Astyanax mexicanus: one gene and its partners. The protein of the gene in region 1 purifies or fractionates together with the protein of each later gene. This does not show direct contact. Links are inferred from orthologs where the notes say so. Each region holds a gene or a part of one and is shown on either strand. Other genes may lie near its edges.

Region 1 (8,291 bases):
ATTCATTGTTGTTCTTGTACAGGTTTTTATTTGATTTTTCTTTTCTTTTAATCATGTTTGAATCAGTTATGCTTCATTTATATGTTATTTTTATTTTCATTTTAATTGTTATTCTATTACATGTTTTTAATTTGATTTATCTTTGTATTTTCTAATTTGTACAGCACTTTGAATGAGTCAAGTCAAGTCAAGTCAAGAGGCTTTTATTGTCATTACACTGAGTACAGGTACACAGTGTGATGAAATTACGTTCCTCCGGAACCATGGTGCAACATAGAACAACAAGCAATAGACAACATAAAGTGCAGGAGTGACGACAGTGCAACATAAAAGTATAAAATTATAACACTAAATAACAATAAATACAATAAATACAAAAGACGAGACAATTTAAAGACAGGACAGTGCAGTACCGATACGGTATAATAAGTGTATAGTGTGGATAAGGTGCAGAGATGTGTGACATACTGTAACATATATAATCACAGCAGTTACTGAGGTAGAGTTTATAGTTTTTAAGAGTGCAGCAAAAAAAGTCATGTCAGCCTCTGTGTGCTGACTGGGTGTGTGTGTGGGTGAAGTTCAGTTCTTTGTGAGTGTAAAGGGGGGGGGGTGTACAGTTTAGTTTTGTGCGAGTGTGTTGGGTGAGTGGTGGGTGGGGTGGGAGTTCAGTTCTGTCTCTGTGCGTTGAGAAGTCTGACTGCCTGGTGGATGAAGCTGTTGCAGAGTCTAGTAGTGGAGGCTCGGATGCTCCTGTATCTTCTGCCGGACGGCATCAGAGCGAAGAGTCCGTGTGAGGGATGGGTGGGGTCGTCCACAATGCTGGTGGCTTTGCGGATGCAGCGTGTGGTGTAGATCTCGGTGATGGAGGGAAGAGAGACTCCGATGATTTTCTCAGCTGTCCGCACTATCTGCTGTAGGGTCTTGCGGTCTGAGGTGTTGCAATTCCCAAACCAGATGGTAATGCAGGTGCTCAGGATGCTTTCTACAGTCCCTCTGTAGAACATGGTGAGGATGGGGGGTGGGAGATGTGCTTTCCTCAGTCTCCGCAGGAAGTAGAGGCGCTGCTGGGCTTTCTTGGTTATGGAGCTGGTGTTGAGGGACCAGGTGAGGTTCTCTGCAATGTGAACACAGAGGAACTTGGTGTTATCCACAATTGTGGATAACACCAAGTTCCTCGGTGTTCACATTGCAGAGAAGTTCAGTTCAGAAATTTCCACAGCAGAGCCGTTGATGTTCAGCGGGTGGTAGACACCTGGAGCTCTCCTGAAGTCAACAACCATCTCCTTGGTTTTATCCACATTAAGAGATAGGTTGTTGGTTCTGCACCAGTCCGTCAGCCACTGCACCTCCTCTCTGTATGCTGACTCGTCGTTCTTGCTGATGAGGCCAACTACAGTTGTGTCATCAGCGAACTTGATGATGTGTATGAAAGGTGCTATATGAATAAACTTGCCTTGCCTTGCAAAAGTTAAAACAATGGTGATTTTTCATTGGACAGCTGCAAAAGACAATCTTTTAGAGAGATTTGTGTGAGAGTGACGAGTAACGTATGCGAGAGAAAGACTATATATGAGACTAAACATGAAAGAGAGACTTATTTTAGAAACACTTTTAGAAAGACTTATTTTATTATAGAAATATTTTTAAGAGACCATATTGTGGCTACTGTTGTACTGTTGGATGTCCAAACTACGACTAAAAGTAGAAGAGAAATATATGTAAGAGAGAGTGAGACTGTGTAGGAAAGACATGTGAGAGTTAGACTATAGGTTGGTTCCCAGACAGGGATTAAGCCTGGTGGTAGAATATATATTTCCTTTCAACTGAATATCTCCATTCAAAAAAACTGTACAAAACTAGGCTTAATCTTCTTATTCTGGGAAATAGCTTCTATGTATACATTTCACAAATAGACTAAATGTAAGAAATGTGTGTAAAAGACCAAGTGAAACAGAGATTATAATGTAAGAGAGACTAAAAGTGTGTGTGAAAGAGGGAAAGAGATAGAAAGAGACTGTAGTTTGCGTTCCAAAGTCTACAAAGGCTACAGTTCAGTAGGAATGACGGGGTCTACTACAAAACTGCCCTATGAACTTTTTTCTCAGTAACCCATTAAAATCACACATATGGAAGAGCCTTCAATATTTGCGGTGATCTTTGTGTGTGAAAAGCTTTTTCATCTCGTAAATAAGTTATAATTATAAAAACTAAACTTTTGGTCATTTGGCCATTACCTATATGTTGTACGAGTGCAAAGAAATTGTGGGTAGTCGAGAACCATGAAGGATACATTAGCTGCGTCCCCAAAATTGCTCAGAATGTCAAGCGCATTTTTAGGCTATATATATTAATGAAAGGGTCACTCATATTGGAATGCAGCCCATCTTGGCAGCAGCCTAGGATTTGGGACGCTGCTGAGACTTTAAGAGACATTCAATATATTCCAATGTGTCACGCAGAGTATGCAGTATAAAATGTGTATATTTAAATATATAATATAAATGCTTTTTTTGTATCACTTTTGCAGTGAAAATGTTTATTACTGTTAAAATGTTACTCATTGAATAATTACTGCAGCTTTGGCAACAGTTGGTTATTACAGTGCAGTTGAATGCAGTTGAATCTGAGTCTGTCCAGTTGAGCGCAAGTGTCTGTGTTTCTGTGTGTGTGTGTGTGTGTGTGTGTGTGTGTGTGTGTGTGTGTGTGTGTGTGTGTGAGGTTCCTTTGGGCTGTTCTTGTTCTGCGCTCTCTTATGAAACACTTGTCTGTATCTTTTCATCACTCTTCACTAAAGCAGAAAGAGAGAGAGAGAGAGAGAGAGAGAGAGACACAGACTCACCATGCAGAAGAGAGCCCGGGGTGTCCTGCAGCAACATTTTCCCAAACTCTCAGTTATTAATCCATATAAAAGTGCAGAAAAACAGGCTCCACAGTGCTCAGTTATATCCAGTGAGGTGCTCAGTCGGAGTGTTCAGCAGCAGGTTAGAGGTCAGGAAGAGAATTAGAGGTCCAGTGTGTGTGAGAGAGTGTGTGTCTGACCATGTGCAGTAAACTGCAGTAACTGAGCTTCATGCTGGGTTAAATATAGGCCAGGGACAAAAGGGGCGGGGCTTCACCTCTGTTTTGGACCTGCCTGTCACATACTGGCCTATTACAGACCTTATCAGACACACACACACACACACACACACACACACACAAAATCAATCCCTCACACACATTCTCATTTTAATCGAAACATTATAGGATTGAAAACATTTAATAAGAAATTAGAAATAATAAGGAATAAAATAGTAAAAAAAAAAAAAAATACTAATTTTAAATCATTATGAATAAAATATATATGTAAAATAGAACATTCTAAAAGATTCTAATAAAAAAAACAAATTGACACATAAAAAGTAAGGAATTTATAAAACATAAAATAAATAAAAAGATAATAGTAAAAGTAAAGTAAAAAGATAAGAATGGTAAGAAATGAAAAACTTAATTATAATAATAATGAACTAAGAACATAAGAATTAAAATATAAAACATTAGAATAAAAATAAATAAATACATAAATATATGTACATAAATAAATAAAGTAATAAGAAAAAGATAAACTAATAAACCAATGAAAAAATCATTTAAAACACAAAGTTTAAAATGTAACAAAAAAACAATACTCTTTCTCTCTTTCATACACACACAGACAAAATTCATGCCCTCTGTCTGTCGGTCACATAAACTCTCAAACTAACTCCCTTTCTCTCTCTCTCTCTCTCTCTCTCTGTACGTGTGTGTGTGTGTGTGTGTGATCTGGGCTGATCTGAGCTCATTAAGCTGTTCTTGTGCAGAAAAAAACCCTGCAAAATAATCTCGGCAGCTCTGAAACACATTATTCTTCTGATTAACTCTTTCTACCCTGTCGCTGCTCATGCTCTGCTGTATGTCGCTCTAATAGAAGACTGTCTTTAAAGTGGAATGCTCTAGAATGGTATTTATCTGTTTTAATAACTGATTAATAAGAGCTTGGTACATGGTAGTGTCAGATTTTAAACCCTTAAAGGAGAACCCCAGTGTAAAACAAAATTGGGTCGTAGTGAAACATGATAACAAGTACAACATTTTGTTGAATACAGCACTTTTAGCTGATGCCCCCAACAGGCTTACAATGCTAGTGATAGGGGCATAACTTTACCCAGGCAAAGAAATCACTATTTTACACCATTAACAAGCTCAAAGTAGCTCTGCACTTTATTGGTAGAATTCTGAGGGCCCTGTTATGTAAAACGAGGCACTGAAAACTTTAAAAGTGCACAGATAGTTTATTAAAAACAGACAGAAACAACTGGAATTCTTGCATTTCCACTGAATTAATTTTCTACTTTTTAATTTGTACTTGTCAGTTGACTTATCGTGACTTAATTTCAAGCTACCTGAAGGTATTGTGTGTATAAACAGTGCACTTTTAAAGCTCTCGTTGCCTTGTTTTAAAATTTGAGGGCCCTCAGAATTCTACTAATGAAGTGTGGAGCTACTTTGAGCTTGTTTATGGTGTAAAATAGTGATTTCTTTGCCTGGACAACTCTATGCCCCTATCAGTAGCATTGTAAGCCTGTTAAGAGCATCAGCTAAAAGTGCTATATTTATTTATAATGGGAATGACGACACCTGTAGAAGTTCTATAAGGTGTTATCCTGTGAGTGAAGCTGAACATCGACCAGCATGCTCATGGCAAGGTGACATGAATCATCAGAGTTGCCAGATTGATGTTCTGGACGTTCTTTTTTGGAAGTTGTGCGAACATTTAACATTCCACGATCTACAGTTTAATGGGTGTATTGGGAATACATCATTAAAAAGGCATTACTACTCACAGTGGACAGGGCAGTGGATGATAATAAAAACAGAAACACATAAAATATAAACTGAAATGTTAGTGCTGTTATCCTGCTGCTTGATCACATGATCACTCAGGGCTTTCAGGGTGCTCTCGTGTCTATGTTAACTTCTGGCTTTCTTTGCATAGTTGTTTTGCTATGGTCAGATCTGTTTTAGTCATAAGCCACACTGTGATTACGTTCATATTCTTGATACTGCATGAATTCATACAGTAAATAATAATCCTGTAACTTGTGTCACGTTCCAAATAAGAATAGACCCAAGTGAATCCATGACCCATGACCATTCTCACTGGAAAACTGCGCTCATTCTGTAGAGATCACGTGAGTTTCATGTTCAAACCCTGTCCTCATTATAATTCTATTAAATGATAAGTAATTTCTTATAACAATGCACTGCTTTCAAATGGAACAATAGCTTTATTTGGGGTCAATTTTGGGCAAATACCATGATACAAATGCTATTAATCACGATTAACTACACTGAATAATGTGATTAATCATGATTAATAATTTTAATCATTTGAAATCCTGAAACAATACGATTTGTTTCTGCATCATGTTCTGCTGCTGCTGTGCGTCGTTCAGTGTGTTGCTCCACTTTGCTTGCGTGTGTGTGTGTGTGTGTGTGTGTGTTTGTTTTACGCTCTTGGCAGGTTGGGATGTTTACGCGGGTCCTCAGTTATAATTGGAAGGTTTTGTATGTCGTTACATATGCTAAGGTCATCTCAGTCTGTGTGTGTGTTTGTGTGTGTGTGTGATGTCACTACTACCGTCTTTTCCTCTCTGCTGTTGCTCAGCAGCAGCTGCAAGGAATGTGTAAAACACATGATCATATGTGTGTGTGTGTTGGTGTGTGTGTTGGTGTGTTGGTGTGTGCATGCATATGTGTGTGTACACAAGAGCAATGGAAAATACACAGATTAGAATCGACAGTTCTTTGTTGCAGGTTTATATAAATAGTATATTTTGTAATAAATTACAGTTTTAATCCACCGGGGTATATTGTATCAGCACCTGCCCATGGGGCTCTATTAAACGTGCATGACAGATGGATATATGGATGGATGGATATATGGATGGATGGATATATGGATGAGCGGACAGATAGATAGATAGACTTTGTTGGTCCCAAAGGGAAAGTTAAGGCAAGTTTGAGTTTTGTTAACAGGTTTAATATTGTTTTTTAATGTTTTTATCTTTAAGTACTTGGCATTGATTGGTTTATATCAATGCTGTCAAATTTAAACACACAAACTGTTTCTGACGTTTGTTATAATATCCTGAAGAATAAACCAAGAAATATTCTAAACAAATATGTAAAATATAGCTCTGTATATATTGTATAATGCTATAATTGTTCCACACTTAATCTACTGTATTGAAGTCTGGGGAAAACCGTGTAAAACAAATACAAATTCTATTCTTATTCTACAGAAAAGGGCTGTAAGAATTATCACCAGAAAACATTACAGTCATCCATCAAATACATTGTTTTATCAGTTAAAATTACTGATATTTTATGATTTAGTTGACTTTTATATTTTATTATTTATGTATAAGGCTCATAAAAAAACATTAAGTTCAAACATCCTATTTAATTTTGTGAAGAGAAAAAGTTGTTATAATCTATAAGGGGATAGAGATGTTTGTAAAACCTAAATTTGGAACTAGTCTGAAGGAGCGGTGTACTGTAATTCAAGGAATAAGATTATGGAATAATTAGAAGAGTGATGTTAAAAATGCTAGATCAATGTGTGTGTTTAAAAAAGGATAAAAGCTGATCTGTATAAAAAATATGAAATAGTATAATGTGCAACTATATCAAATGTTGTTGGAGAAGGATTTGATGTTTTTTGTCTAGTTTTTTTTTTGTTTGTTTTTTTGGAAATTTACTATTGTTCTTAATTATTTTTGGGATAAAAGGGGCAGATATTATAAGATTTCTTCTTCTTTCTGCTGCCTTTCATTTTATTTGTGATTTGTATATATTTTTTCTTCTTTAAAATGTATTTTGTTTATAATGAAATGAATAAATCTTCTAAACTAAAACTAAACTAAAAAAACTAAAATAAACTCTTTTTTCATTGATTTCAATTGAAAGGTTTTAACTCTCTCTGGTAATGTTGCTGTTTTAAAGATACATGTTTTTTTATTGCACATTCGTCCATTTGGGGAGTTGCCCTTGAAGGATGAATCTACAGTTACAGTAGATACAGAATCACCAGTGTAATATGTTGTACCCATACTGCTGTGTGATGCACACAAAGAGAAGTCTGGTTTTGGTCTGGATTGTGGTTTGTGGCACCTTTCACACCTGCTATTTTAGCTGGACCAAACTGTAAAGTCTGAAGGTTCAGACCAAACAAGGGTCCAGACCCTGCGCAATGAGAGTCGCAATGCTCATTGCTATCTCACACCCTGCAAACAGTCTATTTTCATGCCCTGTGGCTGTGTCATTTTAAATAGCAATGGATCTTACGAATATATTTAGTCTGGTAGTCTAGAAAAGGTTCAGGTAAATTTCTGGGGTATTGCTATCTTGGCAATTGACAAACTTTTACTTCAACAATGAATGAATACAAAATTAAATAACATTGCTTTTCCTGTAAATGACCTGCTCACACACCTTCACAGAGTGAATGAGCAGGTCAGGTTCTTTGGCTAGGAAGCGCCATTAAGACATAAATCCGCCAAAGTCAGAGCACACCTGACTCTAGAAGGGAATAAAAAAAGAAACACTGATTGTTTCTTTTCACGTTACGTCCAAAACACACCCATGATTAATTAAAAGGATTATTACAAGTCTATTGCACGTTACGAGCCATGTAAGGCTTACTTTTCCCGTCGTTATGATAGCAAAGGTACACTGACACACCATCAATCAATCTGCATTGTTCATGGTTGATGGCTCGCTTACAGATCACGAAAATAGCATCCCAATTATGCAATTATGTTATTGCCATGTGTGCCTGGAGGTTCCAGACAGTATCCACCTTATTTTGCATGACGACAAGAAGGAGGGCATGTATGATTTGCGTTAGAACTTCTGGTTAAATGGATTAGAACCTCAGTGTCACACCTGGTGCCAAAGGTGCTCCTGTCTCTCCCACACTCGATCCCCAAGTCTCGGACTACGATTCCCAGAATGCACCTCACACTAACATCACTCCCTCACACAGTCACATGGCACTGCAGGAAAGTCATCAGAAAGTTAATCACCTGAATATTGAATTCATCTGTTTACCTCAGTATATATATATACACCTTCATTGCACACATAAACCAAACAGAGTATTGTCTGGTTTACCTCACTTAACAAAGCATTTCCCTTTCCTGAGTTTACAGTCTCTCTCTCTCTCATGTACCCGCTCTGTTTTATCACTTTATGCTTTGTATGAC
Region 2 (7,482 bases), on another chromosome or scaffold:
CAGCCGCTCGCTTCCTGCATCAATCATTCAAACAGGGAAGCAGGGGATTAGTAAGGTTCATTCACAAATCTACTTTTAAATTTTAAAGTCAGAGTAGTGCAAATTTCAGTGTTACATCACAATTAAGAACTACAGAGAGCCAAAACACTACAGCCCCTTCAGTTTCGCAATTATAATTTAAATGTTATAATACTTAAACACCAAATGCCCTGCAAATAATGGCTCAGATTAAGCCCATAATTCTGTCAATTGCAAAACATCTAAATAAAGATGAGCAAAAATCAGATAAGCAAGAGACACTTCAGCTGCAAATACACATGCAGAATGACTTTCATGCTATGATCTAGGCTAGGCCTGTCACAATAAATTTGGATTTCAAGACAATTTCATGCCACTAAAGTATTGAGAAATAATAACATAACGTATTAACAGATTATATTTATGCTGCTTATGCTACGTGAGTTTATTACACCCTAAGGATTACTTAACTTAACTTCATGCAAAGCAATTCAAACTGGCCAAGTGACTCTTAAAACACCTAAAATAAATAAATCTTACATTACCATGTGCTGCTTTTAAACAACTTTGACATACCAGCTAATTCATGTTAACTGGGCCTCCTCGTCAGAACATGCAATACTGACATAATTATTGTGACAGGCATTTTCTAGGCTATGTTTTTAAATGGAAAACAAAATCTGTAAAAAAGGGGACTGTGCAACTTGCTGTATTTGGGCTGCATGCTCTATACAGCTACACAGTCTGATTTTAGCCAAAACAAGGATGTAGCAATCAGCTTTTCCACAAGCACTGGCATTAAATATGTGATAATGGCAGTGGATGAGGTAAAGGAGAGGTTGCTATACTGGCAGTAAAAATTTGCTATTTTAACAGTGGATAACGCACATGTACTTACATTAGACTTGCTTAAGGTTTCCAACGCTGGACTCTTCTATGCTCTGAACTCTAAAGAGAACAAAATGTGGTCAGAAACAGTTCTGTAGGTGACGAATGAGATGATGGTTTGGCTTTGGACTGACTCAGTTTTCTAAACAGCACAGCTTTCCATCCTTAACCCTCTATGACATGGTGTCGCCCCTCAGGCAACAAACAACTTTTTTTTTATTATTACACTATCCTAACATATATTTTTAGTATTTAAACCAATATACTTAAAAGCCAATTTTAAAGCCTATTGTTGCTATCTTGTTTTCACTTACCTCCTAAAACAAGTATTTTTAATGTGTTGCCTCAGAGAAACAATATGCCGTTAGATCACAAGGCAATCATGATAAAGCAGACTTTTTGAATGATAAACGTGGGCTGATTTATTTTTTTAACAATGATAAAAATCATGTTATAGAGGGTTAAGGTGCACAAATTTTTGCATGCATTTTTATAACAAGAACTACAACAACAGGTTTATTAGCTAGCTATAGAGACTCTAAATAGAGCAGACAGAAAACAGCAGTGAATTAGATAACTTACAGGACAAAAATATAATTACAGCTAAACTGAAATTTTAATGTACAGCTCTGGATAAAAAAAAAAAAAAAAATATATATATATATATATATATATATATATATATAAAATATAATCAAGAGAAAGATGAATGATCACAGCCATCAAGCCAAGCTGAACTGCTTGAATTAATGCACTTTTGCACTAGGAATGGCATAAAGTTATCCAAAAGCAGTGTGTAAGACTTGTGGAGAACAACATGCCAAAATGCATGAAAACTGTGCTTAAAAATCAGGGTAATTCCACCAAGTATTGGTTTCTGAACTCTTAAAACTTTATGAATATGAACTTGTTTTCTTTGCATATTTATCTGCATCTTTTTTGTTATTTCAGCCATTTCTCATTTTCTGCTAATACATGCTAGAAATAACAATATTTATATAGTATACAGAATAACACAATGTTCATTTTACTCAAAAATATACCTATAAATAGCAAAATCATAGAAACTGATTCAGAAAATGAAGTGGTCTCTTAATTTTTATTCAGAGCTGTATATAACTTTTACTGTGTTTCATAATGTTTTGGATGGGTTGGATCATGTTTGTTTGCAGCCTGAACTACAGGAGCTGACAGGTGATGTTTAGGGGAGTACTGTGAGAAAACCCGCCTGTAGGAAAAACAACTCTGTTAGCTAGCTAACATATCTAGCTAGATATTTAGCTACGAGAAGGAGAGAACGTAACCCAGATAAGGTGCGAGTTTTAGATACTGCTAGCCAGCTAAAACAAGTGATAGAGTGACAGAAAGTGCAGCTAACTAAGGTTAGCTAGCTAGATATCTAGCCTGCTGGCTCAGCTAGCTGGTAGTCGGTGTTGGCCAGGCCGCCAGGGGGCCGGGGGGTATGACTGTGCACAAACACGACGCGAGCCTTCAGCTAACTAAAGCTAATAACTTCCACCATAAACAACGAGGAGAAATGTAGTTACTATTTAAAGCCAGCTAGATTAGCTCGCTTAGCTAAATGCTGACAAAACCATGGTATCAATCAACAGAGCTGGCGCGCAGATGCAGCGCCCAGCAGCAGCCCGTAACCTTGCTGATGCTGCAACTGTCACCGGGAAAAGCTCCACTAGCGCCGAGCTAGCCAGCCAGCTAGCTAGCCCACCAGCTAGCCTGCCTAGCTAGTAAGCTAGCTAACTAACTCACCTAACCTGCTGCTTTCCTAGAAGCTAACCAGTTTATATTCTAATTTCCCCCACTTTATGACAATACTATTTTACAAATCCCCGATAAAACGACCCCTCCGCGGGTCCCGCTCGCCTCCCCAGGCCGCAGCAGAAGCCGCGCTCTCTCCCGCAGCGCCGGAGCGGTAGACCAGTAGCCCAAATCCCGCCCCGCGGCAGCGCTCCTCAGCTAAAAACAAACTCACACACAGCACTGCTGACATGCTGACAGCTTACTTCTGAATATGCTCTGTCGCGGGCGAGTAAATCCTGCCACTCAACATCACAGTCGCTCCAGTTCTGCTTGTATTCAGCTCCAGCTCCTCAACCAAACATTCTCGGCCATCTTGATAGCTAGTTAGCTGAGGCAAACACCGTCCGTATCCCAAGATGCACCGGGAACCACCAACAAACCATCGATGTTCAGCCGAGCAGCCACAGCGGCGGAAATAAACAGAAACAGCTCATATTCTGAACAGGAACTGTGTGTCACCACAAACCCTTAAACAGCCGCAGCAGCACTACGCCGGACACTTTAAACAGGCTATTCATTAACATAGCTGTTCATATTTTAATTCATTTTACTGTCTTTCCACACTTTTCCTCTTTACTCCGAGGCTCCTGTAATAACAGCACGCAGCACCAGATGGCGCGCTCCGAACAACAGACCATAATATATAATTTAGTGAAGGACCAGAGCTGGGTGCACAGATTTTAAATAGCCTTCTATGTTTTTTTCTTAAATGTGTGTGTTAAAGTCTGTACAAAGCCCTTAGTTACTACGAAACAGAGCACAAAAAGTGTGTTGGGTAGATTATTTCTGCTACATTTGTAAAGAACATGTATCGAGATGAGCAGTTGAGCTGAGTATGTGAAAAAAAATGGCCAAATTCTCTCTGTCAGTGCCAAACCACGAAACTCTGATGTATTTTTTTAACGTAAAAAAAAGTGGTGAGCACCACATGCCAAGTGGTAAGCACCAGATACTAATTGTTGAGCACCACATATTGAGTAGTGGAGGTTTTCAGTGTGGAATGTTTTAGCTAGGCAGCTAAAGGTAGCTATAAGCCCAAAGCTAATGATAACCAGCTAGCTAACTAGCTAGCTATCAGCTAACCTAGCTATCTGACTCTTATTAGAAGTGCACAAGGGAGGAGGGATCATGTTGTAGAAAAAGTGGGCACACACGCGCACAGTATGTAGTGATTTAAGCTAATTTATAATGCCTAATCAAAATAAAATGTTTTTTTTTTTTTTTTGTGATTGGTCTTGTGTTTATTCTGTAGTGGACAATAGAGTCTCATAAATGTAGACAGCTGTTCAACCCCAATCCAGCATTGACTCATTAAACTATATACACACTCACACACATCAGTCCTTAAGGGATATGAGGTGAAGTAAAAGTAGAAGATATCAAACGGTGCAACTGTTGCACAAACTTTACCCTTAGCTATATTATTCAGAGTCAAATCCAAAACAAGGAGTTTCATATTGTAGATGTAGTAACAAGACCAGACCAGAGTTGAACAGAAGAGTGCATGAATGAGCAGTAATCCTCTTGTAAATAGTGGCTCTTATTCATCTTTTGCCTCAATATTAGAAGGTTGAATGACACTCCAACAGTAAAATTGCCACAACTAAACTAAGTTTTAACAAATATGATGCATAAATAGACCCCTTTAAACAGCATAAAACCCCAGAAAAAAAACAAACAAAGAATAAGGTGGCCACACAGCTCCCCACCAAATGCTGGCAAACATCCTTGTAAGTCCCCACAGTCCCCAAAAGTTTCTTTCCCAAGTTCAGTAGTCCCTTATGTCCACAGGCCTCGAACAGTCCCTCAGATGGGCCGGTGCAGGACAACACTACCTTTCGGTGTGTTGTATCATCTTCAGCTATGATCATCAATTCTGGACATTCTGGATATGTACATTCATGCTAATGATTTGAAAGCTATGAATCTGCACTATGCCAGCATTGCATTAGTAACTTTAATTCAAGTATCTATTACAAACCTGTTTTATTTAGTGATTTTAAAACCCTAAAAAAACTGCATTGATTTTCCTGAGCTTCAGCAGTGTTCGTCAGGGCTGTGTGTGTGTGTGTTCCAGGGAGAGCAGCTGGAGGAGAATATGATTGGATTAAGTTAGTGACAGTGGGGGCTTTGCAGGTGAAGTGAGGAGTCAGGAGAATCCCTACGGCTGTTTTCCCTCAGAGCCCACTGCTAGGTTTGATGTCAAACACAAGCCAGTGGGTGAGAGATGCATTCCCTCAAAGCCTCAGGCCTTCTTTCAGATTGAAACCTGCGGGGTCCCTGGAGACGCTCACAGTAGCGAATGCACAAAACAGCTCACAGAGAGGATGACCATGATATGGCATACTTTCACTTGCATTCATGGGAGCTGCACTACAGGGAGTACAAACAGAATCACTGCATAACACTGAGCAGGACTCTGGAGGCTGCATTGCTTGACATTCGAACAAAGAGTATATACGAGTGTGATGTGATTTGTGTGTCTGTTGATCTAAAGGCAGAGTATGCAAGTGGTTCATAGTGATGTTTGTCATTGATCTCTGAAACACAGCAAAACAACAATCAACAAATATAAAATCATAGTGTCAGTAGTGTGTTACTGTGCAAAGATCAGATTTAAATTATGTCAAAATTGAAAATTAAAAAAATAATGTAGAATATAATATTACTGTAATAATAAACAATAACAAATACCTTCTAATCTAAGAAGACATGGCAATTCATATAGGAAGATGTCCTGGGTTGTTTCTTGTTCTTGCTCTGTTTTTTAATTTGCACATCTGGACAAAATTATAGGTACCTTTCTGTTAAAGACAAAAACTCATAATGGTAACTGAGATAACCTGAAACCAGCAAAAATAATAATAATAATAAAAGAAAAATACTTAACATCAACTATCTATCATCAAAGATCTCTTTAATATATCTATACGTTTTTCTAGACAAAAAAATTTATTTTAGCATGAGTCTCCTGAGAGGAAGAGCTCAGTAATATCACATATCTCCTTTTGAGGTTTAATATAGATCCCAATGAAGTCACATTGTGCTGAGATTTACCACAGTAATAACACAATCAGAAATACAAATACATCTCCAAGGACATCAAAGCAAATAAAAATTGTGAATTGTGGTTCAACAGTATCATTTAAAAAAGCTATAAAAAACAAATAAAACTGGCAAGGGCAAAAATGGTGGTACCCCTAGAAAAGACTGAAAATAATAGTAATAACAGTATATTCCCAGAGTAAAAGTGCAGTTCAGGTAAGTTATGTATCTTAATGGTATACATTAAGATACTTTTAATGCATAAGATAGTATTTAATGGTTATAACATCAACGTTTTTCACTGCTGCACTTTGGGCAATTGACTCAGAATCTGTGGTAAATGATTATATAAAACAAATATGCTAGAAAGAAATTAAGTTGGAGCAAACCAGATGTTATAGATGAAGGACACACCATCATCTTTCAGCAGAGGACTCTTCAGACATTACCTGCAGCCTTAGCTGACCGCATTAAAGCATTGTGGCTGTCCTTCACTTTCAAAACGCTATTAATCCATCCCTGCAGCATTCTTTAACATTGCAGCAATAAAGATTTCATGCAGCTGGACCATATGTTGTGAAACTGGGCACAGTTAAAAGAATTTTATTAAGAATTTTACAGCAGTATGGAGACAGCACACTGAGATAAAACAGTGCAGTTGTTGCAGAAAGTGCTGTAGATGACACATAATGCCATTCTTTCACCCATAGTAAAACTGGATTGAAGGTGAGAATTTATTGTCCACAACACATGAACAGGTGCTGTGGGGGTAGAGGATGGAAAATTACAGTCAGGATGCAGTTACACTAAACAAAGCAGACAGATTGTGCTGTACCATCCAATAACAATGAATGCATTTATTATTAAACCCAAAAATAGCATAAAATACACTTTCTAATAGTGAATTGAAATTAAGCGGAAGATTAATTTATTTTGATTATTTTATTATTATTATTTCACTTTGTTCTTCAATTATCAGTGCTTCTATATGGTTGGTGGAGATGATTATAAGGACAATGAGTGTAGAAACAAGTTGGTTATAATATTCTGACTGGACTGTAAATGAACAAAAAAACTATTATTATTCCTCCAAACCATACAAATGAAGCAGAAAAATATTATTAAACAAAAAGTTAAAATGACACCTCTGAGAATTCCTTACATTGTGCTTCAGGGCTGCAGTCTTGAGCCAGTGAGCTAAGAAACAGTAAAGGTATTTTTCAATCAGACAGGCAGGTTGGACTCTCCATAAACAAGACAAAAACACAGAGGATGCCTCTGGCGGTCTCCTCTGTTTTTAACCTCTAACCACATTTGGGCACATCAACAGTGTTGCATGTTCCTGTCAGATACGAGATGGGATTTCACTGTTTATAGGCCAGAAACAGAGCCACAGCTGTGTCCCAGACAATCAGGACCATCACAGCATTTCACATCTGAACACAGAGTAAAATCTAAATATGACAGGAATATAGAAAGAGTGTTTTAACATTAGTATATTAACATAAATAAAAAAACATATAAATAATACATTGAAAACAGCACAGTAACATTATTTTGATATCAAGTCTATTTATAGATTTATTTAGCTTCAAAAACAGTTAGCATCTCGGTTAACATGTGCAAAGCCTACTGTTACAATGTCTGTTAGTTTCCACTGAGCCAATAACTGTGTTCTGGTGTTCTGAGGTCAATACGAACTTGTGTGAACTA
Region 3 (8,406 bases), on another chromosome or scaffold:
CGCTCAGTAAAATAGTCCCTTAACGTGTAATAGGTTTGCATTTTGTAAACTGCAATGAAAACAAGAAGTTGGCTTTTCCAAGCCAACTTAATGATTAGATTGTATAAATATGTAGGAACGTTTAAGGACAAATTTTACTCTCTTAATTTTGCTCTCTCGTCATAGGTAGGAGCTGGGAATATTTTTATAAGGAGCTGGGGATATTTTTATAAGGAGCTGGGAATATTTGTATAAATGCTAGCTATAATAATAATAATAATAATAATAATAATAATAATAATAATAATAATAATAATAATAATAATAATAATAATCGGATTAACTAGTTTATATAACAGTTACTACCCTGCTCGGCTCAGACCCGGCGGCATGGGCGGGCATTGGCGGGCAGTGCCCCCCCACAGAGTCAGCTATGCCCCCCCTGACTGGACTGGAAGCCGTATATGTTTTTTTTTTTTGTTTTGTTTTGTTTTCACCTCTGAGTGAACATCTTTCTATTTTTCCTATCTCAGTTTGTCAGTCATACAATTCAACCAATCAGTGAAGGAAGGCAACGTTCTAGCCAATTACAGTTGGAGGGGGGCGGGTCACTGACTAAAGTTCATACTTGAGAAACAGCTACGCTCACCGTTGTTCGTGTGGCATGGATATTCGGACTTATTTCCAAACAAATAAGAGGACAACAAGTGACACTGGAGTACATGAGAATGGACAGGAAGCAGCACCATTCATTTCAGTTGGAAACGTAAGCGTTGAAGTCAACACTGGAGTAAACACAAACGCCGTCTGCCACTCTACTAAAAGTGGAGTAAACCTCTTTCTGCTCACCACACCTCCTCCCTCACATGCACAAACTTAGGTTTCTTGTTCTGCTCCTTGTACTCCCTAGCTGTTGTAGTTAACCCTCCTAGCATGAATGTTTACTTCAGTCAGTGTTCTGACATCAGTGCTTATGTTTTTCACTGCATGTGTTTTTGCATATATTTGACTTTTAATTTAATTGAATGAACAAAGCACTGCACTATTGTTTTTTGTTTGTTTGTTTGTTTAGATTTTGGGATTTTATTGACAGATTGTTGTTTCTCGGCACTGGAGTCGCCATAGAGCCGCTGTTCAATTTGAAGCAAATAAAAGGCTTTTTGAAAAAAATGTGCCCCCCTGAAAAAATACAATGCCCCCCCTTTAAAATGTTTCTGCAGCCGGGTCTGGCTCGGCTACCCTCCATAGGTGGGAACTGTTTAGGAAGCTGGTGGGTATTCATGGTGAGGAAACGGCCTTTTGTTTTTGCATTGTTTTTCAATTTGTTTTATGATAGGTTTTACAAAACACTGCATACAAAATTTGAAAGAAGGTTCTCCCCTGCGGCTTTCTGGCGCTCAGCTGCTACCTTCTTGAGTTCCTCCATAACCTGCTGTTTCCTAATAACCATGGTCATCCTCATGCTTCTCTCCTTCTCTAGCTGCTCCTTAACCTTAGGCTTTCGCTCCATGGCCGTCTTTTCGCGCTCCGTAAAATCCCTCACCCGCTTCTTAAACCTATACTCCCTCACCAGAAACATGCTCTCCCGCTGCTGATATATCTTCTGCATCCGCTGAACCTCTTTCCTCTGCTCCCTAACCATCGCCTCCTTTTCCTTAACCTTGCTTTCAGCTTTTTCAATCACCTCCTCCCTCTTCTTAATCATCTGCCTGCGCTCGACATCCTCCTGCCTCCGCTCCCTGAACAGCAGATCCTGCTTCCTTAATTCCCGCTCCATCCCAACAACCCTCTGCCTCATCTCCTTAACACTCCTCCTAGGCCTCTTTCTGAAGAATTCTCTCACCTCTTTTAACCACTTGCTCAACTTTTTTAAAAGCCCTGTTCGCTCCTCTCTCTTCTGTTTCGACTCTTCCCGCTTAAGCCGTTCTAGGCCTTCAAGCAGCTCCTCACTCTCCCTGGCCATCCTGTCCTCCTGCTCCTGCAGCAGGATGCCTTTTTTTATCAACTCCATCTCCATGCGAAATTCATTCGCCTCTCTGTTAGATGCGCCAGTCTGCAGGAATGTCTTTTGCACCATGTCGCCCTGAATTGACAATGACGTCACGTCAGAAGAGTGCCCGCTCTGCGTTCTTCATTTATATACCCTTGGTTCGATGACGTCACTGCGCCGCCTCAAGGCAGCTAGAGTGCAACACGGCAGGTACGTCATAGACCGACGTAAGTCAGCGGTACCTGACGGACAATATCTAGCACGGCGTCATATGACATATGACGTCATATGACGCTGCCATATTGGATGGGTCTTCTCACTCTAGGTTAGCGCCACAACTTTATAAGTGAGGAGTTGGGAAAAAAGCTTGACTTCCATATAAACCAAGTAAACTCATAATACAACTTTGAATATATCTATATATATAATTGATTCATCTATACACTTATTTATGCACGTATTAATATGTCTGTCTTTGTTAAAGGGCCTAATACAAAGTATTTATTTCAGCATGAAAGCACGCATTTGTAATGTGTGACAGTTTCCTGTATCATTACTACATCTCTACAGCCGTTTGTTACAAACCAAAGCGTGTGAAACTCGGGTACAAATTATAAGAGTTGTGATTATTATAGTTGTATTAAACACCTTTCTCAGAACAAATAAATGCACTTGGGGCGGTTGGGAGACCCATCCAATATGGCGGCCACGCTGACACGCCATGAGGCAGGCTATGAGGCGTCTATACATATGATGTCTATGAGCCAGAGTTCAATAATTTAATATAAATGTTAAGTTACGTTAACACTGTTTGTCAGATTTAATAAAAAGGTATTATTTCAAGGGAACTTACTAACTAGTTTTTATTAATTAAAAAACTAAATTTATTTATTTAATAAATTTCAGATATTCAGATAGTCCTCTTTTCAAATCAGGTAAACAATAACAGTGATGTCTGTATGCCTGTCTTTGTCAAAGAGCCTAATACAAAGTATTTCAGCATGAAAGCACGTATTTGTATTGTGTGATAGTTTACTGTATCATTACTACATCTCTGCTGTTTGTAACAAACTAAACCGTGTGAAAATCGAGTGGAAATTGGGAAAGTTGTTATTATTATAGTTTTATTAAACACCTTTTTCAGTACAAATAAATGCACTTGGGGCGGATGGGAGACTAAATGTAAGCTCCAATAGGGGACGTACCTGGCCTCTCTTACCTGCTTGGGCAACATCAACAGCAGCAGCAGTAAGCAAAGTAACCAAAATCGACTGTGGAAGAACATAAAGAGAGTTGGTGGAATATATCTGTCTTGTGCATATATACTCCACCCATGTGACGTCAAACCATCTGCATCTTAGCGCTACAGAGGTACACCCCTCGGCCCAATCAGCTCTCCCTTCTTTCCCACCCCTAAACCCATTGGCACCTCCTAAACTACTACTCTCATTTTTTTAAATATTTTTTTTTAGGTTTGAGCTGAGGGTGGAGTGATTTAAAATCAGGGGGTTTAGTTTCCACTTCATCAAAAAGGATGCACAATCCCCACAGGCTAACGAACACTACAAATCACACAGTTGAGCTGCTTCTGAATGCTGCTCAGCAACTGGTTTGTGCAAAAAGAAGGATTCCTTTTAATAAAAAGATCAAAATTCAGTGAAAATAATAGAAATGTGGGCTTTTACAGGGCTTTTATTTTTTAATAACACACAAGAATGTCTCAATGTTAACTGGCCTGTGCAAACAAGATGATTCAATTTAATTACAGTCTTAGAATAAAATAAAATAAAATAAAATAAAGAATGTGACCATTGTAAGTGATTTCATTTTGAAATGCTTCAAGGGCATTGTGTGTTTTATAACGAAGATTTACAACCTTTGTTGACCTTTTTTTAAAATGAATATTAAGCATTATTTCTAAAGATATACAGTATTCATTTCAGTTCACAGTCGCCTCTCTGTGACAACATTTGGCAGCACACCCTCCCTGCCAGCGCTGGTTCTCTGTTGTAAACACGCCCCTTACCCTAGTGATGGGAATTCCAGCTCTTTTTAGAGAGTCTGTTCTTTTGGCTCGGCTCACTAAAAAGAGCTGACTCTTTCAGCTCCACTTTTTTTGTTGCCTTTTCTAATTCATTGTGTTTTCTTTCTTTTTAAGACTATATTAAAGCTGTACAGGAACACGTGGAATTATGTAATAAAAACTGTTAAACAAACCATAATATGTTTTATACTTTAGATTATTCTAAGTAGCACATTAATCTTTGAGGACAGATCTGCACACTCTTGGTATTTTTATCTCAGTGTGGTAGAGGTGAGGTAGAGTCACCTGGAATAGTTTTCTCAGCATCTTGAAGTTCCTGGAGGTGCTGAACAATAGTTGCTGCATCCCAAACCACCTCAGTTGATCAGGCTTTGGATCTACAACCAAATAACTATAAAACTGAAACATAGCACAACAAATAAGAACATTTGTGTTTAGTTAGCTTATGTTTAGTATTTTAGACAATCTCAATAACCAATGCTTAAATAACTGTGGCTCCATATACCCTGTGTGGACTGCAGTAGGTGAATAAAAATATTAGCTATATATTTCCTTAACTATGATTAATTACAAATGTGTTGTCTTTAAAGGTGTGAAAATATTAACATTAATTACTCGGTAGGAAGAAGTATAGATACTTGGGTTTAAAATACTTCTGTAGAATGTGGAGCCTCAACCCAAGCTTTTTACTCAAGTTCAAATGTAAAAGTTCTGGTTTCAAAACTACTTAAAATATAATGTAAAAAAGCTGAAAAACAAGCTAAAACAAAATAGGAGTAACAAGGCTATTTTTAAAATGTAAGGAGTAGAAAGTTCAGATAATTGAGTGAAAATGTAAGGAGTAGAAGTAAAAAGTGAAGTATAGATAAGGTAATAAGAAGGTATTTACACTTCATTACTTGACATCTTTTATGATTAATGACAAATTTGTTGACTGTAAAAGGCTTTATGATGGCATGGACAGTATTTTAGCCAGTCATGCTTAATGACCAATCAGTGCTTTAATAACTCTGATTTAGTGACTTCATAAACACAGTGTGGAATTCTGCAGTAGGTGAAGAAAAAAGTATTTATTTTACAAACTATGATTAATTTCGAATTTTGTTGTCTTTAGAAGGGTATAATTGCTTTATTGTGCTATTCTATTAACAATATGTCAGTGGTATTTATATGGTCTTAAAATGACAATAATATCGTTTATCGCAATATTTTCTGATATATCGTGAGAGACCTAATCGGTGCAGAATCAGAAGTCGATTCCCCCGTGGTTCAATTCAAAGAGCCGGTTCTTAGAGCCGGATCGTTCGCGACCGCCCCATCAGTACTGGGCCGCCCCAGCGCGATCATGGCGGCGGAGCTGCATCCGCGCAGCGGGAAGCTCATCGGTCTGTCCAACTCGAACCGGACCGCGCAGCGGAACCAGCCCGTGCAGGAGTTTAACCACGGCCTGGTGCTCAGCCGGGAGCCGCTGCGGGACCGGGACGTCTTCACAGTTCGGATTGACAAGAAGGTAAATCGCTGTGCGGGAGAGAAAAACGGGGCGGCTGGAGTTGGCTGCTTAGCTCTAGCGGAGTTGTCCGGTCCACCTTAAATATTGCAGTAGTCGCAGCCCGGCGCCAGCGCTGTTGCTAGGCTGTAAGCAGTGCGAAATTTAAGGTGGAACGGAAAATTGGTATTTGGTCACCGATGAGCAGCGAAATGTGCTTAGTTGATGATGCGCTTTAACACGCATATGATTGATTTGTGCTCGAAAATTCAGATATTACAGCTGCATTTCTTATTTCAGTGCTTTATTTTAAGGTAAAGAGGTTATATTATCATGTATTAGCTATGTTAGTTAGCTAGCTAACTTGCTAGCTATCTGTTAGCTGCTGCTGCTCGATCAGATAGCTAGCTTAGCTTAGCTTAGCTAGATCTAGCACAGCCTAATTAGTTAGCAGGCTGGGTTAGCTAGCTAACTAACTAGTTAATTAACCTTTACTAGTTAACAATTTAGCTGATGAATACAATATTTAAAGCTTATTTACATACTCGGTTATTGATAAATACACACTTTTTAAAGTAACAGGAGATTAACTGGCTGTCCTTACTCTATGTTTATGTCTATTTTAGCTGGATGCTAAAAAGCTAGGCTACGCTAAGCTAAGCTAAGTAGCTATCTAACGCTAACAGTCTCACTGACAGCCGAGCAGTGGCAGCTTATAAATAATAAACACAGAATAACAGCTCTCGGATCTGGGTAATACTGTACATTAAGGCTCACAAAAAATAATAGGAAAATCACGCTAATAAACACTGTTACGTGGTTCAGTAATGCCTCAGCTATTTATTAACTGACATTAATTAAGACATAAGACAGGATTCAGGATTCAAACAGTTTATTGCCACAGTAAGGAAACAAATTTCCTTGTACAATAAAATTCTTTCTTTGCTTTTCCCCAAGTATACCTCATAAATAGAAAAATGAAAAATACAATAAAAGAAATAATATACTAACTAAATATTCACAAATTTTAAATTGTTGTTAAATTTACATCAATAATTTTATACTGTATTTTACAGACACGGATATATATAAGGTGCAATATCAATAAAAGTCTATTTTTATACATAAGGTGCACGGGATTATAAGGCGCATTGTATGTGACACTAGTAAGGAACAAGGGTTTCACCATGTTTCCCTTCTAAATTCACATAATTAAACAAGTGCTGGGTGCTAATCTACATAGATGTCTCTCCTGAAACATCTCCTGTTTATTTGTGTGAGTTAAGCACTAACATTTATTTACAGTAAGCTATTTTAGCATTAAAATATGTTAGTGGCACTTAGCGCTAGTAAATGCCACCTGAGAACGCTACACTGAGGAACCCTGAGCGTTTTGGAAACCCAGGGCGCTATCAGCCAGCGGGTCGTCCCGCGTAGCTAGTAGCTGTAACACGGTAAACACGCAAACTACAGTCCAATATACTTGGCTGCTAATGCAAATGCTGCTCCAGCCTTGGTGCTGGAGAAACTTTGCTCAAGACGTACCCTTTTATAATGCTATACTTCAGCAGAGTGACTTTACTGCTCCTTAATACCTGACTGGTAAAATTCATACATAAGGAGCACCGGATTAGAAGGCTCACTGTCAATTTTGGGGAAAATTAAAGGATTTTAGGTGCATCTATAGTTGGAAAACTATGGTACAAGGAAGAACATTACTATCTACAGCAGTGAGATGTGACAAAAGTGCAAAAGGTTCAGTAGAGCAATTGTAAACATTGTTACAGTGAAGTGTAGAGAGTGAGGTGCAGGGTTATTTTGTCTGAAGTAGGTTCAAGAATCCGATGGCAGTGGGGAAGAACCTGCAGGCTTGTATGTTACAAAATGTTAATGCTTTAAAATGCTGTAAATAATATTGAATCTTAACTGGAGGACTAAACTAGGACTGGAGTATTTTCTGGATGCAGCACAATGTTATTGTCTCGTATGATGAGTAAGCTAGCATTAAGAAAGTGGATTTATTTTATTTTTATGGATTTTAAACTCTTTCAAAGCGCTCAGTTAATGGCTTCCTGTAAACTGCCAGGTCCTGGATATTATGAGTAAATGCACAAAATCAAATTGCAAAAGTTTAAAACTAACATTTATGGGCATTACATCATAGATATACAGATCCTATTCTGGTCATTATGATAGTATGATACACTGGTTGAACATCTAAGCTTAATTTGAACTAGTTCTCCTTGAAATAATTGAAAGTCTGTACAATCCAAGCTGTTATAAAAATCACGTCTAAACATCTCAAATGTCCATTCAAGATAACTGTGATGCAATTTTCAGCATGAAGCACTAAGAATACATTTAAACAGCAGATGTTTATTTAGGGCTGTTTACACTGTTTTTAGTGTGACCTCTATCTGACATTTGTCTGAACAGTCTTTTCTGTGCTAAAGAACAGCGCTTCACATGAAGTTTCAGTTTCATCTTCTCCAGCGTTACAAGGCAAAGTTCAGCCTGCAGCTGGTTTTATAACCAGGAATACAAGCTCTTTGTGGAAAAAAGGGTTGCTGCTATTTAGCTAAGGATACTGCTTTAGTTTGTGTTCTGTACTTTTTATAAGCTCTTTATTGTCCTTTGACACTACAGCAATAACAGTTTAACTAGAAACACAGGTCACTTGCTTTTATTATATCACCAATGAAACCTTCACTCTGACACTTTTGTGCATTTTCCTCATTTTCTTGCATAATTTTTCACTTTTCTCCAATGAATTTTGTAAACTCTTCTAATAAATGCATGTAACTGCTTGTTGTTTCACCAATTGTTGACACAGATGTTCAGATGCACATATAAATATATTGCCTGGTCCAGTTGATTTGAGAATTGAGAGTTTCCAGTCTCTTAAAA
Region 4 (7,580 bases), on another chromosome or scaffold:
AGCAAAAGTTAATCTCCACTCATAAATGCCTGATACATAAAGTCATGCACCAACAAACCACAATCAAAGAGAGATCCAAACTGGCAAATAACAAAGAACTCTTAAAGAACCCCTTGTAGTGGATTTGCCTAACAATACACTTTTTCCAGGAGAATCTGCAGTATCATCACTAGGGATGCACAGTGATATCAGAATCATATCAAGGATTTCCACAAATGAGAACAATGATTCATGATTCACAACTGCTAATAGTAAAAAGCTTTTCAGGGCTTCATTAACATGCTCTGCATTGAATCACACTGAATTACACATAAGTCTAAATCAAGTAAGGTAGCAGAATCTACTTTCTAACCTTGTTAAAACATCCAGCTCAAGACCAGCTGGTCATCCTGAAAAAAATCCCTTTGCTGGTAGGCTAGCTCATTAACTAGCATTGACGACCAGGATCTTACAATTTTGTGTATAATAATAGGTTTCACTGATATTTTTGACACTATGAACTATGAACATCAGAATCCTGTAGAATGTATAAGTTAGGCTTAGTTACACACATGCTGTACATTTAAACTGCATAGGACTTTAATTATTACATTGTAACAATTATTTTCAGTTAATGGAACAATATTTTTTTCTGCTACTCAGTGATATTAAGCCCATTAATTAAACCTTATTTACACTAATTAACACAGAGAGACAGTTTACTGCAAAATGCTGTTTGAAAGTAGGCTATATTTTCCAAATTGGACTTAACTATAACACTGACAAAATTATTTTCAGTTAATGGAACCATATTTATTTCTGCTAATCAGTGTAATTCAAACATTACAATGATTACATTTTGATTTTGATTACATTGTATTTTGTAGCATCTGACAGCTTCAGGTTTACTGATTACTGATTAACTAGTGTTAGCTTTAAACTAATCATAATATTTCATTTCTGTGGATGTATTTTGGTGTTTGGGGTTCACTAAAACCTCTTTCATAAACACTAATAATTCTAAGCAGAATCCACCAGCAGCTCCTATTATTGTTAGAGTAATGTAATTTAAGTTTAATCTAGCCATTTTGACTATCATAGAAGACAAAGGCCTAAACTCATTTTTCAGAGGCACACTCAAAACAGAGGGCCTGTAGTACCAGGTCTGCCTTGAAGCAAAGATAAATAGGCCACATTTTACAAGCACAACATTTAAAAAATCTAAAACTTGTTGCTAATCTAAATTACAAGGACCCTCATAGTGTCATCTAATAGCCCAATGCTGCGGCCCAGTAAAGCACAGTTTCAGTTTGAGAGAGGAGAGCATCTGGCCATGGGAGAAAGCATGGCTCCTGTCCAAATATTCCAGTTTGAGCAGTAGGAGGGAAAGGAGAAGGTAGTCTGTCCCCCATTGCTTTGCTTTGTTAGACGTGTTAAACGTTGACGTCCTGTAGCTAACTGTTATCAGGTTTATATGTTCCAGTTTTCCGATGTTTCTTACTGTACCTATATTGTTCGTATTATGTTTATTTTTTACCAATACTCTTAGCTTAGCTAGTTAAATATATATGGAGAAATTAATGTGAGCGTAGCTACAGCCTGTCTAGTCTAACTCAAAATAGGTAGAACTGAGAGAAAGGAACTGAAATAAATAAATGTATACAGCACGAGTCCCACCGGGATCCCCCCTTTATCCAGCAGCACTCAGCTAACCTAGCTGTAGCCCTGTGGACATGATCAGCAAAGTCGAACCGGGGTTTGCTTTGTTATCGCCGGTTATAGCTGCGTGTAACCTACAGTGTACTACAGTGTATTAACACTAGTTAGGTTACCGTTTAGTAACATATTAATAACTAAGGGAGCGATGTTGTGTAAAGAGCGGAAGCTATCCAGCGGGTTCACTGAGGCTGAATGGAAATATTCAGGCCAGATGTAGCCAGGCAAAAAGACAGACAGACAGAGAGAGAGAGAGAGAGAGAGAGAGAGAGAGAGAGAGAGAGAGAGAGAGAGAGAGAACACAAAGGGAACTCGACCAATGCTTTAAATTGTGTCCTTTAACACTGGTATTCTTAGGACATCTCTGTAGGGCATGAGCAGCTAATAATATAATACACATTTTAAAAATACGATATCTAGGTTAGGTAGCTATACTTCTTAACGCCCTGTTACCATTAAATGAGAATTCGCATTAACCACATTAAACCTACCCAGCTGACACACAACCGACCTTTAACATTAAAATGTGGTTGAAATATGATTGAAGTAATGTCTGTTGTTGTTTCAACGTTGAAACAACATTTAATGCTAAATGGTTGTGCAAACGTTAACATTTTTTACGTTGAATCAACATAATGTCCTTAACCTTCTGCCTTTTGAATGAACATTTTACATTTCATCACCATACAATTAAAAAACGGTTGGATAGAGGGAGGACAAAGTAGTTTTACTTCCATTTGCAGGAAATTCTTAAAAATTTGGCACCAATTCTTCACCATATCTGGGGGTATATTAATGTTCAGTTTGTTTTACTGTGTTTATTAACACTCTTAACCAAAGTATTTTCTAGTTTAAGTGTGCTATGGTTTATTAAAGGTTAAACGTACAACGTTGAAACAACGTTGCCATATCAACGATAGTTCACTTTTCAAAATCAACACCAAATCCAACGCTGATTCAACCATAACATAAATGTTGATTCAACGTTGAAATGCCAGCTGGGTAGGATTGATGGATGCCTGAATGATACTGAAAGACTGATCTTATAATTTAGCTAGCAATCCATAGTTAAATAAATTACTGAAATCCACTACACATACGTAAACGCGTGTTTTTCATTATTACAAACATATTCCAGATGTTTGAAACGTTTTGCACATATTCAAAACCCACGAATAACGTTACCCACAATCAAATCAGGATCTCTGAGCCATGATGCTGCCACAGCTCTGAAAAACACAGATCTGGCATGCTGATTGCACACGTTGTGATGCTGCTTGAAGTTCTGCCGGCCGAAACGCGTCTCTGCAGCGAATTTTACACCATTAATCTAAAATAGAACTGAATTCATCACATATTGCTCTATGAAGAACATCCGATACGGCCTCGAGTCAGTAACGTTAGCGTTGCTAACCTAGGTTATAGGAAAGGCAAGAAAAACGTTTTTTAGACACGCCAACAATAAGCTAGCGTTAACGTTGCCCTTGCTGCCGATGCACCATTAAACATCCATCCATCATTCCGAAAAATATAACTAGCAATATAATATTGATTGACATATTACTGTTACTCACCCCTTTCTGTTCCCCTTTTTGTGCAAAGATCCAATTCAGAAGCAGCCCAACGGTTTTCAGTGCCCTGCCCAGTATGTGCTCCTACGTCTCAGTTGCTCAGCAATAACGTTATTCCTAACAAATAGCGGCGACCTACGGCAGGCTGGAATCAGGCAGGCAGGACATCATAGCCAGAGCCGGGTTATTAAGAGCCCGCCCACTTTCTATTCTCTCCGTTATTTCAGTCAACGACTGCTAACCTCTAGAGGGAGCGCGTGAGTGAGTCTTTAATAAATGAAGGAGAATGGAGCTAAACGGCTTAAAACTCAAATTAACAATAGAAACGAAATACTTATCCGGATTTTCCTTTAATTCCCTGAAGATTTTTTTTTCTCTGCAAAAACTAGAAAAAGTATCTGTATGTTTCCAATTTTCTACATCAAACAGTTTTTAGGCAGTAAAGATGCTAGCGTTACTGCTAAACAATGCTAAATAGCACATTTAAAAGGCTTATACGCTTTAAAATGATTTCTGTGGCACTGAAACATTTAATATTTTTCCATATTAAAGAAAATAACTACATTTGTCAGGATAAAAATAATAAAATATTTATAAATTTAACATCTTTGATCGCAAGACCCTACAGCCAATAGTGAGGAGAGCTTAGAAGACCAGTCTCTCTGCCCTCTATCACCGACATCTACACCACACGCTGCATTCACAAAGCCACCAGCATTGTGGACGAACACACACATCCCTCATGTGGACTCTTCGAAGATACCGGAGCATCCGTGCCTCCGCTAACAGACTGTGCAACAGCTTCATCCACCAGGCAGTCAGACCTCTCAACACACAGAGACGGAGCTAAACCCGCTCATCACACATCCAACACACTCAAGCCCAATTTATACTTCTGCGTGAAAACTACGCCATAGCCTACGTGTATCCAGGGAGAGTGTGCTATGCGGAGTGCGCTTATACTTCTGCGTGCACATATCAGCAACTCTGTGTTGCTCTGCCCTTAGTCCTTAGCCCTTAGTTAAACCACGAAGGCAGGAATGTGTGGGAGGAGATGCGAGATGTCCTCGTCACACGACGCGTAGTTACATTTGCAGAGAGATGCGAATCGAGCTATGGCGTAGGCAACGCCGTAGGGCACACAGTGAAGCTTAGGCTACGGCGTAGGGTATGGGGTGACGCATAGGCTACACCGTAGGTTCGACTCAAAAGTATAAATTGGCCTTAACACAGAACTAAACTGAACCCCCCCACCTCTCTTCACGCACAAACACACACACACACCGAAATGTCTATATCCCTATTAGCAATATTTGCTGCTTCATTTCACAAAAACTAGAAACTCTCTATCTCAGTTACTGCTGTGATCATGTATGTTCTATATGTTACAGTATGTTACATATCTCAGCATATTATTCTTAGTATTGGTACTGCACTGTCCTGTCTGGTAAACTGTCTGTTGTCTTGTCTTGTCTGTTGTTTTTATTGCATTTATTGTAGTGTTATAGTTTTATGTTACACTTTTGCACTTTATGTTGTCTATTGTTTTGTTGTTCCATTTTGCACCATGGTTCCAGAGTAACATAAATTCAATACACTGTGTACTCAGGTGTGATGACAATTAAAGCCTGTTGACTTGACTTGACATGATAAACTATGATTTTGCCCAATTGCTCCATATAAAACCATATAATTTATGCACATAATCAAAACAAATACATATACAGCGCCCTCTAGTATCTGAATTTAAAAGTGACAAACTGGGGGAATACATTCTCGAGTGGGTCTTCTCCTCGCTACAGGCTCTCTGATATTACAGCAGCGCCAGCGTCTGCAGTTCCAACACAGTCCAGTGGGCGTGGCCTCAGCGATGTTGTCATCGCGCACAAAGACGCGTACCATGTTTTAAAAACTGTATTTTAAATATAGATACGGCGATTTTATTGTAATACATACATGTTTGTGATTTTAGACAATGATTTACGCGAAAATATGATTGCGTTTTTTGTCTTCATCGTTCATTAAAATATTAGCATCTTCCAATGTGTAGTTTTTACCCTCGTTATCCCCGTTCTCAGTATCAGGGAGGAGGTCACCGTGGGACTACAGTTCCCAGCAACCTTTGCGGGGACGTTGACGGAAGTTTGACCTGTGATTCGAGTGTTGACGGTTAGGGACTCAGTCACAGGTTGTAGTTCTGCAGAGCGTTGGGTTATTTTAATAATATTATAGATTTTTTAGACGGGACTGATTAGAGTTTGTAGCAGGTGATTAGGCACACATGTTCTGACGAGCTTCAGTTAATCCAGGCTAAAATGAAGCCGTCGCTGGACTCGGACGAGGAGGAGGAACTGGGAGCTTATCAGAAGAAACTGAGAGGTGATGCTGCTTAACGTTAATTAACTAAAATTAACGTTACGTTGCGTTGAACAGAAAATAAACATGCCCTTAAAATCCCGTGCGGTAGACGTTTTAGACCGTTTTTAATTATTTGCATGTTCGACTGCTAAACTAACTAACCTAGCTTTGCAGAAAAGTAGCGAATTATTAGGTCAAATCTAGTGTTGTGGTTTAATATAACTTAAAATAGTTGTTAAATAAAGTAGTTTTTAAATAAAGGCATTTCATATGCTGCCTCAAATGCCCAGTGAATATACATATGTTCTTTGAGTTAAACCGAAATTTTAAATGAATCTTAATTTTATCTGAATGCTGTCTTTTCTTACAAAATATTGTATATATAAAAATACATAAATATATGCAGTACCGGTTAGAAGTTTGTATACGCCTTCTCATTCAGTGGTCTTATTTTTACTACACTGTGAATAAATACTAAAGTCATCCAGACTATGATGAACACATAAAGAATCATGCAGTAAGAAACAAAGTTGAAAAAAGATTTGAAACTTGAAATATTTTTTTAAAAACTGCTACTGTGGTTTTATTTGTAAAATTGTTTGTTTTTTACTAAAAACAAAGGTACATAGTATGATAACCAACAATTGACACTGTGTTATTCTTACCTGATACGTTTCTCTACAATGCCTGATTTTACACCAAATACACTTGTTTTTTTTTCTTTATTCATTTTTGTCATTAAATAGTCCCAAAATTTATATTGTTTTTATTATTATTTAAGCTGTGTAGGGTGGAGTCAGCTAAAACTCTTTAAACCCCAAATCACCACTGGCATATCAATTATGCATGCTCCCCTGACATTTTCATAGCATAATAAAAAGAGTAGCCGATATGCTTTGTAGCTTTACACAGACTCAGATGTTCGAAACAGTGTAAAGGGTTGCAGTACAAAACTCTGTTGTTGCTTTGTTTCTTGTAATCTTGAGTGTGAGACACTTCAGCAGTTTAATCTGTATTTTATATATTGCCCCAGAGCAAGCCAACCGCAGTATTCAGCAGCTGAGCAGCATGCTGGCAAACCAGAGCTCTGAATCCGAGGCCTTGGAACAGGGAAGCAGTGATAACAGCATGCAGGACAGCTCACAGCAGCATGTGCAGCAGAGTGAAGCAGGTATGCCTCCGATCCATAGACAGTTAATGCGAAATATGATAAAATGTATGTATATCAGAATATACCATAATCAAGCATTTATTTATTTCAGACACATTATTTACACCCATCTTTTCAGCTTTACTGAGCATATAGGACATTTTGTAGAGCTACAATTACAGGTTGTAGTTCTTCTATTTCAGTGATGAGCTTCTGTCTCTGACTTTACATTTACACGCTGGAGCAGCAGGGTAGGACTGTATAATAGATTGGACATTTGTGTGTTTAAAAACTCCAGCAGCACAGCTGTGTCTGATCTACTCCTACCAGCATAACATATATTAACACACCACCACCATGTCAGTGTTAAACAACAGGGTGAAACGAGAAAAATCACGTATGCAGAGAAACAGAGGGCAACATTCTGAAATTATATATATATATATATATATATATATATATAGTTGTCAGTTGTCAGTTATCAGTTGTCAGTTAAGTTCTCTGCTTTTATTTTTCAGCCAATCAGCTGCGTTCTTTGCTTCAGAAACAGCCCCGAGAATCACAAGTTCCGTCTCTTTCTCCTTCAAAAAGGAAATGTGCTCTCAAGGTAGGTTACATGATTTAGGTAATAAAGCATGAACCAAGAAGACTAGTAAGTAATAGCTCTCTTGTAATTTTGCATATTTACACACACACACACACACACACACACACACACACACACACACACACACACACACACATATATATATATATATATATATATATATATATATATATATATATATGTATTGTCTAGGAAAGCA

The links.
Region 2: the proteins of mapk6 (region 1) and ube3a purify together in Homo sapiens (affinity purification with mass spectrometry; 3 studies listed by BioGRID and IntAct, with this or other methods). This does not show direct contact. The link is inferred for Astyanax mexicanus from reciprocal best matches to the Homo sapiens genes MAPK6 and UBE3A.
Region 3: the proteins of mapk6 (region 1) and neurl4 purify together in Homo sapiens (affinity purification with mass spectrometry; 6 studies listed by BioGRID and IntAct, counting the BioPlex papers as one, with this or other methods). This does not show direct contact. The link is inferred for Astyanax mexicanus from reciprocal best matches to the Homo sapiens genes MAPK6 and NEURL4.
Region 4: the proteins of mapk6 (region 1) and cep170aa purify together in Homo sapiens (affinity purification with mass spectrometry; 3 studies listed by BioGRID and IntAct, with this or other methods). This does not show direct contact. The link is inferred for Astyanax mexicanus from reciprocal best matches to the Homo sapiens genes MAPK6 and CEP170.

The regions. Positions count from the first base shown.
Region 1 is NC_064416.1:42,066,729-42,075,019, forward strand, and holds the start of mapk6 (mitogen-activated protein kinase 6), read right to left. Parts: upstream 3,061-8,291; 5' UTR 2,843-3,060; intron 1-2,842. UniProt on the Homo sapiens protein: Atypical MAPK protein. Phosphorylates microtubule-associated protein 2 (MAP2) and MAPKAPK5.
Region 2 is NC_064412.1:17,793,365-17,800,846, forward strand, and holds the start of ube3a (ubiquitin-protein ligase E3A), read right to left. Parts: upstream 3,079-7,482; 5' UTR 2,928-3,078; intron 967-2,927; 5' UTR 919-966; coding exon 917-918; intron 15-916; coding exon 1-14. UniProt on the Homo sapiens protein: E3 ubiquitin-protein ligase which accepts ubiquitin from an E2 ubiquitin-conjugating enzyme in the form of a thioester and transfers it to its substrates.
Region 3 is NC_064422.1:43,799,780-43,808,185, forward strand, and holds the start of neurl4 (neuralized-like protein 4), read left to right. Parts: upstream 1-5,331; 5' UTR 5,332-5,358; coding exon 5,359-5,523; intron 5,524-8,406. UniProt on the Homo sapiens protein: Promotes CCP110 ubiquitination and proteasome-dependent degradation. By counteracting accumulation of CP110, maintains normal centriolar homeostasis and preventing formation of ectopic microtubular organizing centers.
Region 4 is NC_064414.1:22,580,293-22,587,872, forward strand, and holds the start of cep170aa (centrosomal protein of 170 kDa), read right to left. Parts: upstream 3,419-7,580; 5' UTR 3,270-3,418; intron 1-3,269. Other genes in the region: sdccag8 (serologically defined colon cancer antigen 8 homolog), read left to right, coding at 5,582-5,645, 6,658-6,795, 7,293-7,381.